Tamandua tetradactyla: one gene and its partner. The protein of the gene in region 1 purifies or fractionates together with the protein of each later gene. This does not show direct contact. Links are inferred from orthologs where the notes say so. Each region holds a gene or a part of one and is shown on either strand. Other genes may lie near its edges. The genes, in order: TRMT112 and ALKBH8.

What was found.
Region 2: the proteins of TRMT112 (region 1) and ALKBH8 purify together in Homo sapiens (co-immunoprecipitation; 3 studies listed by IntAct, with this or other methods). This does not show direct contact. The link is inferred for Tamandua tetradactyla from reciprocal best matches to the Homo sapiens genes TRMT112 and ALKBH8.

The regions. Positions count from the first base shown.
Region 1 is NC_135335.1:10,336,819-10,344,655, forward strand, and holds TRMT112 (multifunctional methyltransferase subunit TRM112-like protein), read left to right. Parts: upstream 1-5,922; 5' UTR 5,923-5,978; coding exon 5,979-6,056; intron 6,057-6,148; coding exon 6,149-6,250; intron 6,251-6,388; coding exon 6,389-6,478; intron 6,479-6,565; coding exon 6,566-6,667; 3' UTR 6,668-6,840; downstream 6,841-7,837. Other genes in the region: PRDX5 (peroxiredoxin-5, mitochondrial), read right to left, coding at 1,865-1,970, 2,064-2,125, 2,262-2,300, 2,380-2,511, 3,689-3,823, 5,115-5,276; ESRRA (steroid hormone receptor ERR1), read right to left, coding at 7,572-7,831. UniProt on the Homo sapiens protein: Acts as an activator of both rRNA/tRNA and protein methyltransferases. Together with methyltransferase BUD23, methylates the N(7) position of a guanine in 18S rRNA.
Region 2 is NC_135334.1:34,345,819-34,355,080, forward strand, and holds the start of ALKBH8 (tRNA (carboxymethyluridine(34)-5-O)-methyltransferase ALKBH8), read left to right. Parts: upstream 1-5,584; 5' UTR 5,585-5,625; coding exon 5,626-5,675; intron 5,676-5,688; exon of another isoform or gene 5,689-6,094; intron 6,095-9,262.

The DNA of each region.
Region 1 (7,837 bases):
CTCTTCTGGGTATATACCGAGTGTTGGTATCGCCGGGTCATAGGGCAACTCAATATTTATTTTCCTTAGCGTTTATTTATTTTATAGCCATTCACTGAGCAGTCACTATGTGCTAGGCAGTACGCTAAATGCTTTACATACATTGTCTCACTTGTACCCCACAACCACACCATGAGGTGGGTTGTATTATTACCACTTTGGAGATGAGGGAAGTGGGGTCAAGGAAAGTGAAACAGCCTGCCCTTGGCCCTCGAGCTTCTAGGTAGCAGGTCAGGACTCACCATCAGTAGGATCTGCACCCCACTGGGTTGTCCTAGGAGGTCCCCGAGGCCCTAGAAGTCTCCTCCTACCCTTCTCCTCTTGGTCCAGAGGCCTAGCCAATGGCACCACGACCTGGAGGCGAACACTTCAGCTCAGAGGCCTTGCTGGGTGGCAGCCAGCCTGCACAGAGCCCAGGAATAGAGGAAACGGGGGTGGCTGGGTGGCAGAGATGGGGACTGGACATCCTCTGGTAACGGGGAGGCCTGCAGGGAAAAGGCGGAAGGAACTCAGCAACTGGGGGGTTGGCAGAGGAAGAGAGGTGGGCAGGTTAGAAAGGCACAGGGAGCTGCCCTGCCCAGGTCAAGGGCACCTGGAAGACAGCAGGGGGTGAGAGGGACACAGGTCAGTGGGTGGGACGACACGGGCACACTGAGCACCTGGGACCCCCAAAAGGGAAGCCGACCCACCCTCCTCCTGAGTGCTCTGACCCCCCCCCCCTCAGCCCCTTGGGCCCCCACCCAGGTGGCTCCTGGACTCTCACATCCTAAAGACCTCTAAATCCTGGTGCCCTCATTTTGTCACACCTTCCCTACGCTGCCCACTTCATACCTCTCCCCACCTCCCAGCTCAGACCACCCCAACACTGCATCCAATGTCAGGCTAAGTGCCAACTGGACCTGCCATTGCCCAGCTTAAGACCCTTCAGTAGCCTCAGGCGCCCTAAGGATGAAAGGCAAGCCGCTTACCAGGGCCTGAAGGGTCCCGCTGACCTCCAGCAGCCTCTCTCCTCCCAGCTCACACGCCTACATCCACGCTGCGCCCTCTACCTGGAGCTGCATTCCTACCATCTGCCCAGCTCTCCATACAGTACCTGCGGAGGAGCCCCGGCCCCTCCCTGTGAGCACTGGGCCCGCCCCATGAGCATCTCCACTCTTGCACAGCTCACCTCCAGATTCCTCTCCCAGGGAGCCCTCCTGGACTGGACGAGCCCTGCCTCCAAGAAGGAATCCTTCCTGTCAGTCACTCTCCCAGAGTGCAAGGGGCCCCTCCTGGAAAGACGGTGCTTTCAGAAGGTATGTAACAGTCTGAAAGGTTGGCGGGGTGGGGCTCGGCCCAGATGGGAGACCCAGAGCTGAGGTTCTTTCCCTACAGTTTATAGACCCAAATGACACCAGCGAGCACCCTGAGATGCACATCCAACGTTAAGGGTGTGCACCCAACTTATGCACACAAGCCTTTCCCTGTGGCTTCTCTCTGCATGGAACGTTCCTGCCCTTGCTTTTCGGACCACTGGCTCTTTTTTAGCTTCTAGATCGATGCTTCGTAACACCTTCTTTCAGAGGCTTTCCCTGACAACCTCCTTATTTAAATGGGAATCCAGTTGTTTTCTCCTTCCACACCTGCCCACTGTCATTCCAGCTCTCAATTGTAGTCATGAAGTCAGGCTCTCAGTACAGCAGAGATTCAAAAACAAGGAAGTGGATGTGACCCAGAAGTGTTTATTGCACAAATCTGGCCAAGGTTCCAATTGGGTAGCCCCAGCTGCAGCTAAGTAGATAAGTCAAGGAAAGGGTAAAGAGGGTGTATCTGGGCCGGGGGGGCCTCAGAGCTGCGAGAGGATATTGGGGGCCAGGCTGCAGGTGAGGCCTGTGCCATCCGGCTCCACGTTTAGGACCTTCACCACGCCATCCTCTATCACCATGGAGAACCTGCCGGAAGGGAGGCCAAAAAAGTCAGGCCCAGAGACCGGAATAGGAGGAGAGGGCCCCAATGAACCCCACAGAACACCCTCTCACTTTTACCTCTTGAGCCGACGATTCCCAAAGAGTGGCACCAACGTATCATCTAGTAACAAATCCGTCTCCTGGGAGGGAAGATAGAGAAAAGGATCAGGAAGCCCCAAGGGGGCTGCTCCCCACACTGGTCAAGTCCCTCCAAATCTCTGCTTCCAAGACCTGGCAGAGGAACCACGCTGTAGTGGGGGGACGGCGTGTACTCACCTTCCCAAAGGCCCCAGAAGGGTCAGCCAGGAGACGAACCTGGGGAGACAGAAAATAAAGGTCACCAGAAAAATCTCCTGCTTGGGCCCTGAGCCCCTTCAGGACCCCTGCACCTTACCTTGCCATCCACGTTGTGGGCTCGCCCCCACTCGCCAGTCACAAAGACATCATTGACACTCAGACATGCCACCACTTGGATGCCCTTGGCCTTCATAGCCCCAGCCTGCTCCACAAACCCCGGCAGGTGCGTCTGGGGAGGAGAAACTAAGGGTCAACAAGGAATGATCTTCAGGCCCCCCTAACTTCCCTGCTTTGACTCCTTTAATCAACGAAAACTATGTAAACCAACCTATTTCCTTGTTTGCCTTGGCCACAAGGAAGCTCAGATCCAAACTTAAGGTTGTGGGGTCAGGACCACGGATTTTTTTTTCAATTTTTTAATTTAAAAAAATATATGTAACAACAAACAAATGCAAACGTTCTTAATTTATGATTATTCCATTCTACATATATAATCAGTAATTCACAATATCATCACATAGTTGCATATTCATCATCATGATCATTTCTTAGAACATCTGCATTAATTCAGAAAAAGAAATAAAAAGGCAACAGAAAAAAAATCATACATACCATACCCCTTACCCCTCCCTTTCACTGATCACTAGCATTTCAATCTAAATTTATTTTAACATTTGTTCCCCCTATTACTTATCTTTATTCCACATGTTTTTTACTCTTCTGTTGATAAGTTAGATAAACGGAGCATCAGATAAAGGTTTTCACAATCACACAGTCACATTGCGAAAGCTATATCATTATACAATCATCCTCAAGAAACATGGCTACTGGAACACAGCTCTACATTTTCAGGCAGGTTCCTCCAGCCTCTCTGTTACATCTTGGATAACAAGGTGATATCTACTTAATGCAAGAATAACCTCCAGGATAACCTCTCAACTCTGTTTGGAATCTCTCAGCCATTGACACTTTATTTTGTCTCATTTCACTCTTCCCCCTTTTGGTTGAGAAGATTTTCTCAGTCCCTTGATGCTGAGTTCCAGCTCATTCTGGGATTTCTGTGTCACGTTGCCAGGAAGGTCCACACCCCTGGGAGTCATAGAAACATGGATTATTTACCTGGATTATTTGCCTTTCAGAGTACCTGCCACTCAGCAGGGTCAACAAGGGGGTATTGAGCTTAATCACAATAATTCCTTTCTCCTACATTCCTTGTGGTTACCTTTCTGCAGCCTCCACTTACTTTCTGAACACTCTAAACATAGCTTTTTTTTACTCTCAGGCTACCTAGGTTCCTTGGTGGCAAGCCGCCTCAGGCCTTTGGAGGGATATGTGAAGGACTTAAAAGCAATGCAAACATTTTCAAAAGATCCAGATTCCTAATCTCAAGAAGGGCAGGGCCTCACCTTGGAGCAGCCCGGGGTAAATGCCCCGGGGACTCCAAACAGCACTCCCTTCTTGCCTCTGTACAGCTCCGCCAGGTTCACCTTGTTCCCAGGCTCCCCTTCAAACACCTCCACCGGTGGGATGGCATCGCCCACCTAGAGGGAAGGGCTCCAAGGTTAGGAGTTGAGAGGTGGGGGGAGGCCCAAGGAGGGACAGCAGCAAACCAGAGCCAGGAGGGAATGGGGGGAGGTCTGGTGGCTGTGCTTGGCAGAGCCCGGGGGGAAAAAAAGTCCAGCCCTGTCAGAGTTTCCAGAGGTCCCTCCCTGCTGCCCTCCCCTTCCCCCCGACTCTCACCCGCCTGGTTGCCCCATATCCTCCAGGGGTCAGTGAGGCCCTGTCCCCTCATAAGGATCCATTGGTGACACCAAAGAAAGGGAGAGAAGGCCTTGCACGGTGTCGCAAGGGATTGAGTCAACAAGTTGTAAGGGTTATGGGAGAAGAGTGGGGCCAAACCCGCAAGGGGAGGAGAAGCAGGGGGGAAGGGGGTTGTTGGGTTGGAAGGAATACTGGACAACAGGGAAAGCATGGATCCTGGCCAGCCATGGAGAAAAGGAAGGAAGGCAGGAGGGCAGTAACAAGGTGGGAAGGGGAAGATCCCGGCCCTATGCAAGGGGGGTAAAATGAAAGGAATCTCTTAAGGGGGAGGGATCAGTGCATCTGGGAATGTGAGAGGGCTCCATGGGGATGGAGGAGGTAAAGATAGGAGGAAGGGAGGCTGAGAGATGGAGGATCTCTCAGTAGGTTGGAGGATGGTGAAACAAGGCGAAGGGCCTCGGAAGGGTGTGGGAGGGGAAGAGGGGGTTGAGTTCCAAGGAGTGGGGGACAGCTCCAGAAGATGGGCGGGAGGAGAGACTCAACTGAAGTGTGGGGGATCGCCTCGGGAGGAGGAGGAGGGGAAATCGGAGTGGCATGGGGAGACAAAACGAGGGCTCAAAGGGCTGACAGCTGTTCCATACGATTAAGAGTGATCCAAGCAATATGACAAAAGGGAGGGGAGGGTGGCGCGGCGGGGTAAAGAGGGTTCTGGGGCAACGGAGATGGTTGGTTTCCAGAAGGTGGGAAAGGCCACGGCATTCAAACAGCGGAAAATGGCGGAGACCACAGCAGTGTCGCAGTCGACACGCAGCGGGAATCGAGGGGGGAGGGTCCAGAGCCCGGAGGCTGTTCCAGGAGATCCTGCACGAGGTCCCAAAACTTGGCGAGAGGGGGTGGCAGTCACGGGTGTCTCGATGAGGGGGTGAAGGGGCTGGACCGCGGGAGGGACCTCTGGGGCGGCGGAGAGGGCTCCGGAGGGCGGGAGAGAGGACCCCACCTTCCCCACCGGAGCGGGACGAGGGACGGCCTCGGGAAGATGGGGGGGTCAGGTCTGACGGGGCCGACGGTCACCTTAATCGGCGCCATGGCTGCGGCGGCGCTGCTGAAACCGCACGTGCACCCTCCTCCTCCTTCCAGGCGTAGGCCCGTTCCCACCGCTACCGCTCGGGTAAACTCGACGGCGGTCGCCCGAGGGAGCGCGGAGTTCGCGCGGCGCCCCACAAGGCGCAGCATACGCAGCCACTCGCCGGGCGCCACGGCCGCGACCGCCCCTTCGACCCCGGCGGGGGCGGAGCCGCGCCGGCCGCAGAAGGCGGAGCCTCGGCCGCGCCCGGCCCCCAGCGAAACGCCCTCACTGCGCAGGCGTGGACGGCCGCGCTGCGGGCCGGGCTTCCGGGATTCAGGGCTTGTTTGCATTAGGGGCTGGGTCGCTGATACCTTCTCCCCCTCTCAGTGGGCGTAGCTCGCGACGATCCTGCAGGTTCTTTGCAGACAAGGATGGGGTGCCGCTTTATTTTGAGGGGCCTCATTTATAGTTGGGGCAATAGCGCACCTCATTAGAAGGGGAGGGCTGGTGTCAGGAGCCCGTGCACAAGCAAAACGCATGTCTATCTGACATTTAACGAGGTTCCCTGCACTGCAGCTGTTTTACATATAATTTGCATCCCGATAGCGGGTGAAGGTTTGGCTTCAACCAAACCACTAGGCGGCGTGCGACATAACGATCTCCCGCGGAGCCGCTTCCGGGAGCAGCGCGTGACTGAACCAGGTCTTCCCTATGTCTCTGCTTGGCCGAGCACGAGCCCTGACAGCAGTTTCGCTGCTTCCGGTCTTTTGGCCGCCCGATAGGCTAGCTAGCGGCACCGTCCCGGAAGTGACGTTTTGGCGGGGCGGTATATTTCCGGTTCCTGCCTGGGTAGGACGTTTAGCCGCGACATGAAGCTGCTCACTCACAACCTGCTAAGCTCTCACGTGCGGGGGGTGGGGCCCCGTGGCTTCCCCCTGCGTCTCCAGGTACCGATCCGCGCAGACCCACGCCCCTCTCCCGGGTGAGCTGCGGATATCAGAGTCCGATCCCCTTTCTAACTAATCTCTTCCCACTGCAGGCCACCGAGGTCCGCATCAACCCGGTGGAGTTCAACCCGGACTTCGTAGCGCGTATGATACCCAAGGTGGAGTGGGCAGCGCTTCTGGAGGCGGCCGATACTGTGAGGACCCTCCCCCCACCCCGCCTGTGCCTAGCGGGGGAGGTGGTCTCACCGCACCCTCTCACACCCGGCCCGGGAGCTCGGCCTGATGGGGAGGGTCGGGGATGGCCGGAGATGATTTAGGCTTCTTGCCCACAGTTGCATCTGGTCGAGGTGCCCAAGGGACCAGTTGAGGGGTATGAGCGAGATGAGACATTTTTGAGGAAGATGCACCACGTGTTGCTAGAGGTGAGAACCGGCTCACACTTTGCTTTCCCGGCCATGCCACCCCTCCCTTAGGGCCCAGGTGTTCAGCTGTTTTCCCTCTGCCCACAGGTGGATGTGTTGGAGGGCACTCTGCAATGCCCAGAATCTGGACGTCTGTTCCCCATCAGTCGCGGGATCCCCAACATGCTGCTGAGTGAGGAGGAAACCTAGACCTAGCCATGCCAGGCACGGACCAGCTGATCATTCTGTGACATTCTTTATGTCTGTACATTGTTAACTGTCATGTTCATGTCCAGCCCTCGACCCAATGACACACTGAACACACTGTGTTCTTGAGCTTGATATTATATATATTTTTTCTCATTAAAGGTTCAAAACCAAAAGCGGTTTCTCTTTGCAGCAAATATACATTAAAATAGAGTCTCTGTACAGCCAAGGGCACTGGGCCCTGGCTTGCCCCATGTCCCTGCGCCTCCCTGGCCAAACCCAAAAATAAATATAGTGTTATTGCTCTGCAGGGCATCGAGGCAGTGCTCTCCCTCCCCCTGAGGAGGCTGGGTGGGAGCTGATGGGGGACCCTGGCCACCCTAGGGGGTCCAGGGGCTGGAGCCTGCTTGGAGTTATTGCTTCAAGGGGGGTGGGCAACAGTGCCCAACGCAAATGATGAGGAGAGGAGCGAAGGGGGCAGGGGCCTTTGCTCTCCAAGTCCCACTCTGCTCTGTAGAGGGGGTTGGATTAAGTAGCAGCAAAAGCATCACCCACTGGGAGACTGTGGCCTCCACCCCCTTCCCTCCCTGAGATCAGGCTTCTGCCCCCCACAATTCCCCTGCACCCCCTATGGCTTCCGCAAGGCCCCCGACAGTCTGGGGGCACATTATGGCTTGCAAGGGGCAGCACTGTGCCCAGAGCCCGGGCACACACATCCCCAGCTTCTGACGCCCCCTGGGAGTGGGGAGGGGAGGGCGTGGGGCCTGCTCCCAGGGGCTGATGGCATTGCCCTGGCCCTGCCAGCAGGCTGTGGCACTGCCCAGACCCCAGCTCTGCCCCCTTGGGGTTGAACCCATGCTGGGCGGGTCCTGCCAGCACCCCCACCCACCCACACCCTCCCCCTGCCTCAGTCCATCATGGCCTCGAGCATCTCCAAGAACAGCTTGTGCATGGGCACCTTGCCCTCCAGCTTCACCCCATAGAAATGGGCCAGCACTTTGCCCGCGGTCTGGCGAAGGAGCGGTAGGGTGAGCAGCAGTCTGCCTGCCCGTCGCCGCTCAGCACCCCCTCCAGGGCCTGCCCGGCCAGCTTCATACTCCAGCAGGGCCTCATGCAGGGCTTCTCGCAGCTGCTCCACAGCCTCAGCGTCCTCGATGTGCACAGAGTCTGTAA
Region 2 (9,262 bases), on another chromosome or scaffold:
CCTGATTCAATGTTGGAGGGTGGGAACACTTTTGATTAGATGGAGATGTTACTCCACCGTTTCAAGGTGGGTCTTGGTTAGTTTACTGGAGTCCTTTAAAAGAGGAAACATTTTGGAGAAAACTCAGAGTCAATCAGAGGTATGGAGATCGAGACAGAAAGAGACCAGGTGCTAAGCAAGGATTCACAGAAATAGCCAGAAACTGAAAAGAAGAAATCCTCAGTCCTGGCAGATGCTAAGCTAAGAGATGAAACCCAGAGTTTTGCCCTGGAGCAGCTAAGTGAAGGCCCAAAGATGCTTAGAGAGGAAACTACTAGCACCAGAAGCACAAGGAACAGAACTTGGAACAAGGTCCAGTGGACACCAGCCATGTGCCTTACCATATCAGCTCTCCTTGAGCCAAGTATCTTCCTCTAGATGCCTTACTTAGGACATAGTTATGGCCTTAGAACTGTAAACTTTTATTAAATTCCCTTTTTAAAAGCCATTCCGTTTCTGGTATATTGCTTTCTGGTAGCCAAACAAACCAATACACCAATTAATTGTTGGATTAGTCATTTTGTCTCAACAGACAAATTTAGGTCAGGGTTTCAAACCCCATACAGCATGGCACCCAGAAAACAGAAAAGTATTGAAACTATTATGTAACCCAGAAAAGCCACGTTCTAATCTTGATCCAATCTTGTGGGCCAGAACTATTGTTTAGGGTGGAACCTTTGATGAGATTGTTTTCGTGGAAATTGACCCACCCAATTGTGGTGTGATCTTTTGATTAGATTACTTCCATGGAGATTGGCACACCCAATTGTGTGTGTGGCCTTTTGATTAGATGGAGATGTTGCTCCACCCTTTCAAGGTGGGTCTTGGTTAGTTTACTGGAGTCCTTTAAAAGGGGAAACATTTTACAAATGCTTCAGAGCTGAAAGAGATGCCTGGAAACGTTGCTTCAGAGACAACAGAGACGCAGACATCTGAAGATGCTTGAAATACAAACAGAAATTTATTTGGAGATGAAGAGACCAGCAAACATCACCATGTGCCTTCACATGAGATGCTAAGCAAGTCAGAACCCAGAGCTGTGTGTCTGGAGGGGCTAAGTGAAGGGTCACAGATGCTTAGATAGGAGGCCATTGGAATCTGAACCTGGAAGCAATGGAACCAGGAATAAAGACCACCAGACACCAGCCACATGCATTCCCATGTGACAGACATCAGCCTTTCTTGAGTCAAGGTATCTTTCTCTGGATGCCTTAGTTTGGACATTTTTATGGCATTAGAACTGTAAACTTGTAACTTAATATATTCCCTTTTTAAAAGCCATTCCATTTCTGGTATATTGCATTCTGGCAGCATTTAACGAACTAAAACAGGTATAGCGGCCAGAACATAGGGGATTGTTCTGGAAGCAGGACTCGGCCTTAAAACCAGATCCAAAGTGGCTCGAACTGTCATATTTACTCCACCATCCACTTTTACCCTGATGACCTACTCCCCTAGTCAGATGTCAGGATATGGAACTAAAAATTATTTCTCCCCTTGAAGCTTTTTAAGTTGCTAAAAGTCTCTGGAGTGCCAGCAGAACAGAGAAACCCTGGTTGCCCAGCCTGTAGACTAAATACAGTCCAGCAGCTGCAAAAGACTTCGTTACTGTGGTCTGGGAGGCTCCAGAGCCTCAGGTATTGTCCCTTTTGAGGGTCACCAAATTGTTACCAAAGTGGTGGATTCTTTTGCTCTATGTGCCCAAATGACCTATTCCTGAGACACTGGGGTTTCAAGGAGAGAAAAAGTTTATTACTGGGCACTTAGCAGGAGATCAGATGCCTGTCAGCCCAAGAGCTGTCTCCCCAAACTGTAATTCTTATAGTTTTATAGCATTAAAAGATAGGTAGGCTTTAGGATAATAAGCACAATGGCCCCAGATGATGTAATTTGAGGTGACTTAATTATTGAGCATGTGCAGATTGATGGCATGCTTAGTCATAGAACATATGGAAGAAAATGGTGGCCTTATTATAATGATGGGTGTGATTCTTAGTATTACAATGAGTATTACAGGTGACTTACAGGTTAAAGTCTAAGCTACAGCACATGTCAGGTGGGCCCATTTTGGTTAGATCCAGACTCAGTTATCAAGATAACTTTGAACTTGGGGCGGATTAATTCTGGACTGACCTAGGACCCTTCATTAATCAGTATTAGGGGCTGTTTTTAGTTGTCAGAAGGCTCTAAAGTCCAAAGATTACATAAATGGATACAAATGAATTTTAGCCACAAGGGTTTTACAATTACAGGGCACAAGATGAAGGCTATACAATCATTATAAAAGATGAAGGTAGCTAGATTACAATGCAAAAAATTCAGGTAATTCCTTCTGTCTACTCTAATACACCAGAAAGCAAAAAGGAATATCTATACAATAATTCATTAATAAAATTATCCCTTGAATGCCAATTTCTTGGTTACAGTAAGATTTATTTCTGTCTTTACAGTCTTTTTAGTGCATTGCCCATGATGTGCATCACATTTTGGTTTAATGCTTATTCAATAATACAACTGTTCTTTCTCTTTTACCTTTTAGAGAGGTAGACGAAGGTTGGCAGGAGATTTTATTTTTAATTGTGTTTCCCTGACACCAGAAAGAAGAGGGTCCAGGGGTTGGCAAACTAGCCCATGGGCCAAATCCTGGAAGCATAAACTCTTACAACCAAGAATATTTTTTTACATTTTTAAAGGGTTGTAAAAACAAGCAAACACAGAAGACATGGACAACAACAAAAAACCCAAAGAAGAATGTGTGACAGAGACCACATATGGTGTATTAGGGTTCTCTAGAGAAACAGAACCAACAGGAGAGATCTGTAAATATGAGATCTGTAAAGGTGTCTCATGCAAACATGGCAATGGAAGAGTCCAAAATCCTTATGGCAGGCTGTGAAGCTGGTGGTTCCAATGAAGGATCTGGACAAATTCCACAGGAGAGGCTTGCTGGCTGAAGAAGCAGTGAAAGAGTCTCTCTTCTTCCTTAAAAGCCTTCAACTGATTACACTATATCATTGTGGGAGATACGCCTTAGTTGATCGTAAATGTAATTAGCCACAGCTGCAATCAACTGACTGCAATCAACCAGCCATGGAATATCCTTGCAGCAATGGTCAGGCCAATGCTTGCCTGACCAGGCATGTGGGCAAAATTACTTGGCCAATTTGACAGCAGAACCTAACCATCAAATATGGCAATGCTGACTCTTGCACTAGTTAACCAAGGGCTCAGGTATCATGGGTTTTACAAAGACAAGACACACTAGGTTCACAGTTAATACCATTGAAAAATTATTACAGGACCCTGTGCAAAATTTTTCACATGTGAAGATGAATTCTATCTTCAAATTAAATTTCTTTCCAGTTCAATATGTATTGAATTCCTATTATTACAAGCCTACGGAAGACAAGGGTTACAAAGTGAATAAGACAGGATCTTAACATAGCTGAAAATTCCTCCAGGGAGTCATCTTTGCTGGGAGCACTAGCCCGTGCAAAACTCCAAGCAAAAGACAAGGATCTGTATAAAAAGGATTATATGCAAAAGTTTTAATGTATCCACCTTTTTCTAAGGATATGGAGGAGGAGATGGGCAGCAGGTGTTTGGTAATGTGGGCCTGTACCTTAGGAGCAGAAGAGGAGAGAAGGAATAAATAACCATTTAATAGCTACTTTATGTATAGTATTTTATTTAATTATCACAGCAATTCCAAAAGGTAAATGCTGTTTTGTATTTTCTATTTCAGGTCACACTCCAATGCCCAAGTTCTTTCCACTAAACCAAACTGCCACCTAAAGGGTAGTCAGGACTAAACATATAGAAAGATTAGGGATTGATTCACAAACCTCTTTAAAATCCTGGGAGGCAGTTGGAAAGACTGTAGACTGAAAAAGGAGTCAAACAGAAAACATGAGGTATTGTCTGTGTTTATCTATAGCCATAAGGAGGGAAGATAGTAAAAAAGACTGAAAACAAGTAGTCAGAAGTAGGAGAGAGTGTTTTTACGAAGACTAACAAACTCAAAAGTTTCAAAAAGAAGTAGATTGAAAGTTTAAAAAGCTTCAGCATCTTCAAGTAGGATGGATACCTAAAGTAACAGAATTTGGCAACCAGAGATAACTGATGGTATTTTACAATGTTATCCAATTCAGTAGCCACTAGCCACGTGTGACTATTTAAACTTACATGAATTAATACTAAATAAAATTTTAAAAATTCAGATTCGGTTTTCTCAGTTTCACCAGCCATATTTCAAGTTCTCAATAGCTATTGGCTATTGTTATCATATTGGACAGCTTGGAGTATAAAACACCGGAGAAAATTCTTACTGAAATGTGCTGTGTTTGAAAGTATCCAGTAGCATTGAAAGACTGCAACAGTTTTCCCCTCATCCCTGTTCAGTAGGTTCCCATGTCTGGTTGAGTCCACCTCTCCAATTTGCTCTATCCTCTTCACTTTTGCTATTCAGTTTTGTCTCCATCCTCTCTTTCGTGGACTACTGCTATGGCTGCCTAATAGGCCTCCAAACTTCTGGCCTTTCTAATCTATTCTCCCCACAAATCAGTCCTCCTTTTAACTTTCTAGCCAGTACCAACCAGCCTTAACCTTTATTATTTGTCTCAGTGGGAGCGCGCTCGGGCGTGCGTGTGTGTGATCACTGTAGCAGCAGGGAGAACTCCCTGCTGGGAGAACTCCCCCCTCCCTTTCCAATTTCCCTTCCTTTGAACTCACAAAGCTCAAAATCTAATGCTAGTGGAATGACAATGCATTTATATCACACGAATAATCTTAGGGTAGGAACAATCACTATCATCACCCTCTCGTGCATTTTTATTTCCAATCTGTCGTCAAATCTTTTTCCTTTTAATCCGCCAATGGCGTGCCCTAGTTAACATTTCGTTACTTTTCACTTTACCATCGCAATAACCTGCTAAATAGTCTTCTTACTTCTAGCTTTTCCTTCCACCTTCCTCCAGAAATTCCATTTCCCGGGTCAGGTCACAACTCATCTCCCTCCTTCCCCAGAGATGCCATCTCTCAGACCCCAGGGGTCTCTCTCCCCATCTCTAAGATGTACAAAGAGCACAACGGAAGACAATTATTGAGGGATCAAGGTTGATGGGAAAAACAAACCTGTTTGACCCTGTTCATTTTGTAAGCTACCGATAAAAATATAATGAATTCCCAAGCATTACTATTTTTTTTCCAATAAAACGGCTGTAAATGAGAACATGACACCGGGCAAGGGCTCTTGGTCACGAAAGGTTCAAAAGAGTTCTGTGGGTGGCGAATGGGATTGTGGGAGCACGCTTCCTCACCCTGCTGATTCCTGGGAAATGTAGTGCAGTTTTTCTCCAACATGGCTGCGCCCAGGTGAGGCGGAGTGTGAGAATTCCCCGCGTCTTTCTACCACTAACATAAAGATGCTGGCGACTGCGAGAGTATCCGCGGGTGAGAACCCGGCATGGTGAATACGGAGATTTGTGGTACTTTTTCATGGCTGGCGCGATGGAGCCGTAAGTCACCGCTTCCTCTGTCAGCGTCTTCCGGACTGTTGTGCTTTGCCGGCTTGAGGATGAGAATATAATGAGGGAAGGAATGGCCCCCGGGACTCTCTCTCTTGCGGTCCGTGGAAGGTAGTTTGCCAGCACTGGGTGGTCCTATAACTGTTTGAGATACACATGGTTGGGTACTGTGCGGCTGCTCACTGTGAATCTTTTTCTTTGAGGTTGGGAACGGACTGTTGCATCCTGGGGCGTGTTAGTCGGTCGCTTATGGGGCTCATCTGACCGGTGTCAATCCAGTGAAGCAAGGGCATCACTGTTGGCCAGATCGCCCACAGCTGAGTCTTCCAGTGCTCTTACTTGAGTAATTCCTTCAACCATTGGGCCCCTAGTGTGTCAACCTCTGCTACTAATTGATTTCATTTGACGAACATGTATTGAGTGCTTGCTGTTCACCAGGTACTCTGTTAGGGGTTAGAGGTTGTATTTTCTCTCAGGTCTTTGCTTTCAAGTAGATGACAGCCTTCTGGGGGAGACCAACACACAAGCAGGTAATTATAATACAGTGTGAGTACTATAGAGTTAGAGATACACATCCCTTAATTAATGAAACCATTGAGGAGTGTTGCCAAAATAATTTTGGAGGAGGAAGGGCTTAGGAGGTAAGATGGTGAGTTCAAATTTGGCATATTCAATAAAAGTTGTTGAGTGACTACGAGGTCCAAGAACCTGTGTGGGTGCTGGGGCTACAAAATGAACAATACAGACAAAATCCCCTCGTGGAGCTTATTGTCTGGTTAGAGGGGGAAGGTAGAGAATAAACAAATAATGAGGGCGTAAGAAAATACATAGCATTCTTTAGAGAGTTCTTTAGAGAGTTTAAAAACAGGGTGACATGACAAGTGATGGGGTGAATGTTTTCTCATCATTTAAAACATTTTTCTTTTTAAATAGGTAATGCATTTTGAATAGCTACTAAATTCAAAAGTTAAAAGAGGAAATTCTTTCGTTCCTGTTCTCCATCCACCTATTGTGTCTCCCTCGAGACAGCCCATATTACCAATTTCTTGCGTGACTTAGTTTCCCTTTATATAGCTTTATATGAATATGTGCTGTTATTTATAATCAGGCCTCATTTGATAGGAATTTAGGTTCTTTCTGATCTTTGCTATTAAATATAATTTACATATAAACACAGGAACATTTGTTTCACCTATTCGCCTATACTACTTGGTTCATAGTAGGCTTTCCGTTGGTGTGGAGAATGTGGATGTGCAAACTACTGTTGCCTTTCAGGGCAATATTCAAAATATTCCATAGAATTTATTAAACTTAGCAAGCAAGTAGCAAAGCATGCATGATCCCCAAACTCTCATAACGTCACAGAGAATATGCTTAGGCTGGACATGGCTATTATGGACTCAGCATGGCTAGTATTTTAGTAAATAGTGATCTCACTCCCATAACATACCCTAACACTCTATTACATGACAAATAACATCTAATCATTTGTGCAACAGTAGAAACTCCCTGGTCGGGGACGCCACCTTTTTAGAAAGGGAAATCCTCCAGACCTCAAGCTGGTGTCAGCCTGTTCCTTTGTTGAGGTGACTCAGACCTGCCAGGCCAGTGCATTTCCAAGTCACTGATTGGGGAAGAAATGAGCCTCCAAGTGAAATTTGGATTTGTCTTTCTTCACATGCAGCTCCATCTGCTGGTAGTTGGATTCTTGGCAGCGGGCTTTTAAAAGATGTATTCATCATTTTTCCATTCTCATTTCCACTTTGCAGTTACTGCTCTTGTGAAATATTAAGAAAAAATTCCATAGTGTATTTATCTCTCGCTCTCCAAAATATACTGCAAAATTGCCTTTCCAAAGAAGATGATCTTGGAATTGGATGACTATAAAATAGCTCCTTTGAAGGCCCTCAGTTTTTTCTTTTTTTTTCCTTAACCATTTGGATCTGGCTCTTCTGGAAATTAACAGTAATATATTAATAGATGTATTTATTCCTAATAAAGCTATGAGGTAGGCACTATTATTGTTATCCCTGTTTTACATATGAAGAAACTGAAGCACTAAGATGTTAAGTAACTAACTCATCAGGATATACAGCTAATAGTGGTGGATCTGAGATTTGAACCTAGAGTCTGAACTCGTAAACACTGTTATAATATCTCATAGTACTGAATGAGGCTCTGGGGAAACAAAGAAAAATGTTATTTAATCCCTGTCATCAAGGAGGTCATGATCCGGTGGAAAGGAACAGACATTAGAACAAATTATTATAATTAGTCCATTGTTAGAAATATCCATTCGTTTGTCCTCTTCCTGTCTAATCATTCTTAAAGCCTTTCTAACTTCAATTCCCCTCCTGAGAGCCACTTCATATTGTCAACTGCCAACCAGATATTGCAACTGTATACCTGGTCAGTATCTCCAACATGTTATATCTTAAATCTGACCTAACCTCCCTTTCAGAATAGCTCTTCCTGTCTTTCCAGTTTAAAAATGACATCAACTAATCTCTGTCATTCAGGCTCCAACCTAGAAAGTCATCTTTGGTTGCTCTCTTCCTCACTTCTGAGTAGTCATCAAGGCCTATTTATTCTACTTTACCACTTCCCCTCCCTCTACGGTTTCTTTTTTTCCTGCTGCTTCTCCCTTGGATCTGGCCTGCATTTTTGCTTGCCAAGTCGTATTATTGCAGTTCCCCTTACCTCTCGTCTGCCTACTATGCTTTTCAGCTAGCCTACTTTACCAGCTCTATTTCTTATCACTTGCACCCTGTGTGTTAGTTAAGCTAGGCAGCTGGCTGTTCTTTCAATAGGCTTGGCATTTTTTTTCTGTAAAGATTTGTAATTAGAGTTTTATCTGTGAACTGTTTTAGACTGTGATTTTGTTTAACCCTCTAAATTTATTTTGTTTGTTAACCCTAAAGACTTTGAAGTATATAGAGATTGGGTCAGCAAACATTCTCTGCTCTAAAAAATTATACCTACCCCTTACAATCTTTGCCATACATCCAATCCTGGTTTGGGCTTCTGCTTTTTATTGCCTCACTAGATACCTTCCCTTTCATATGACTCTATATTCTTATCTTTTAGTACTCAGCCCAAGTCCCTTTAAGTTTTGAAATCTTTCTAAACTTTTCCAGTTAATAATAATCTTATTTTTTGTTTTTAATTCCTCACACCTAAAGACTTTATCATTAACATTTCATTTTATAAACTTGTGTCATATTCTTATACCTTGTTTAATGTTTGTTTTCTTCAACTAAGTTAAAAAGTTGTTGAAAGCATAAACTTGTCTTATAGTTGTAATCTGCAGAATTTTGAAACCATAATAGGCATGTGTGTATTCACTCGTTTGTCATTCATTTATCCTTTTAAATATATTTGGATTAAACACCTACAGTGTGCTGGTGTTCCTCTTCTCTTGGAATTTGCATCTTGATGGGAGAATAAACCTGGTAATTGAATCATCACAAATTGTGTTAAATTCAGTGAACAAAATAAAATCTATTGTGACAAAGAATGATGTAAGGATGCTGGTTTGAATGGGGTGGTTAAGAAGACGACGTCCTTGGGAAACCACTCAGTAACTACTTGTTCATTTAAATATTCCAGTTAAGTGAAAATAATTCTATGGGGCTTTTATTTCTGCTATTTTCTAAATTATAGAAAAAGTAATAAAACAGACTCCAATACCTACCATC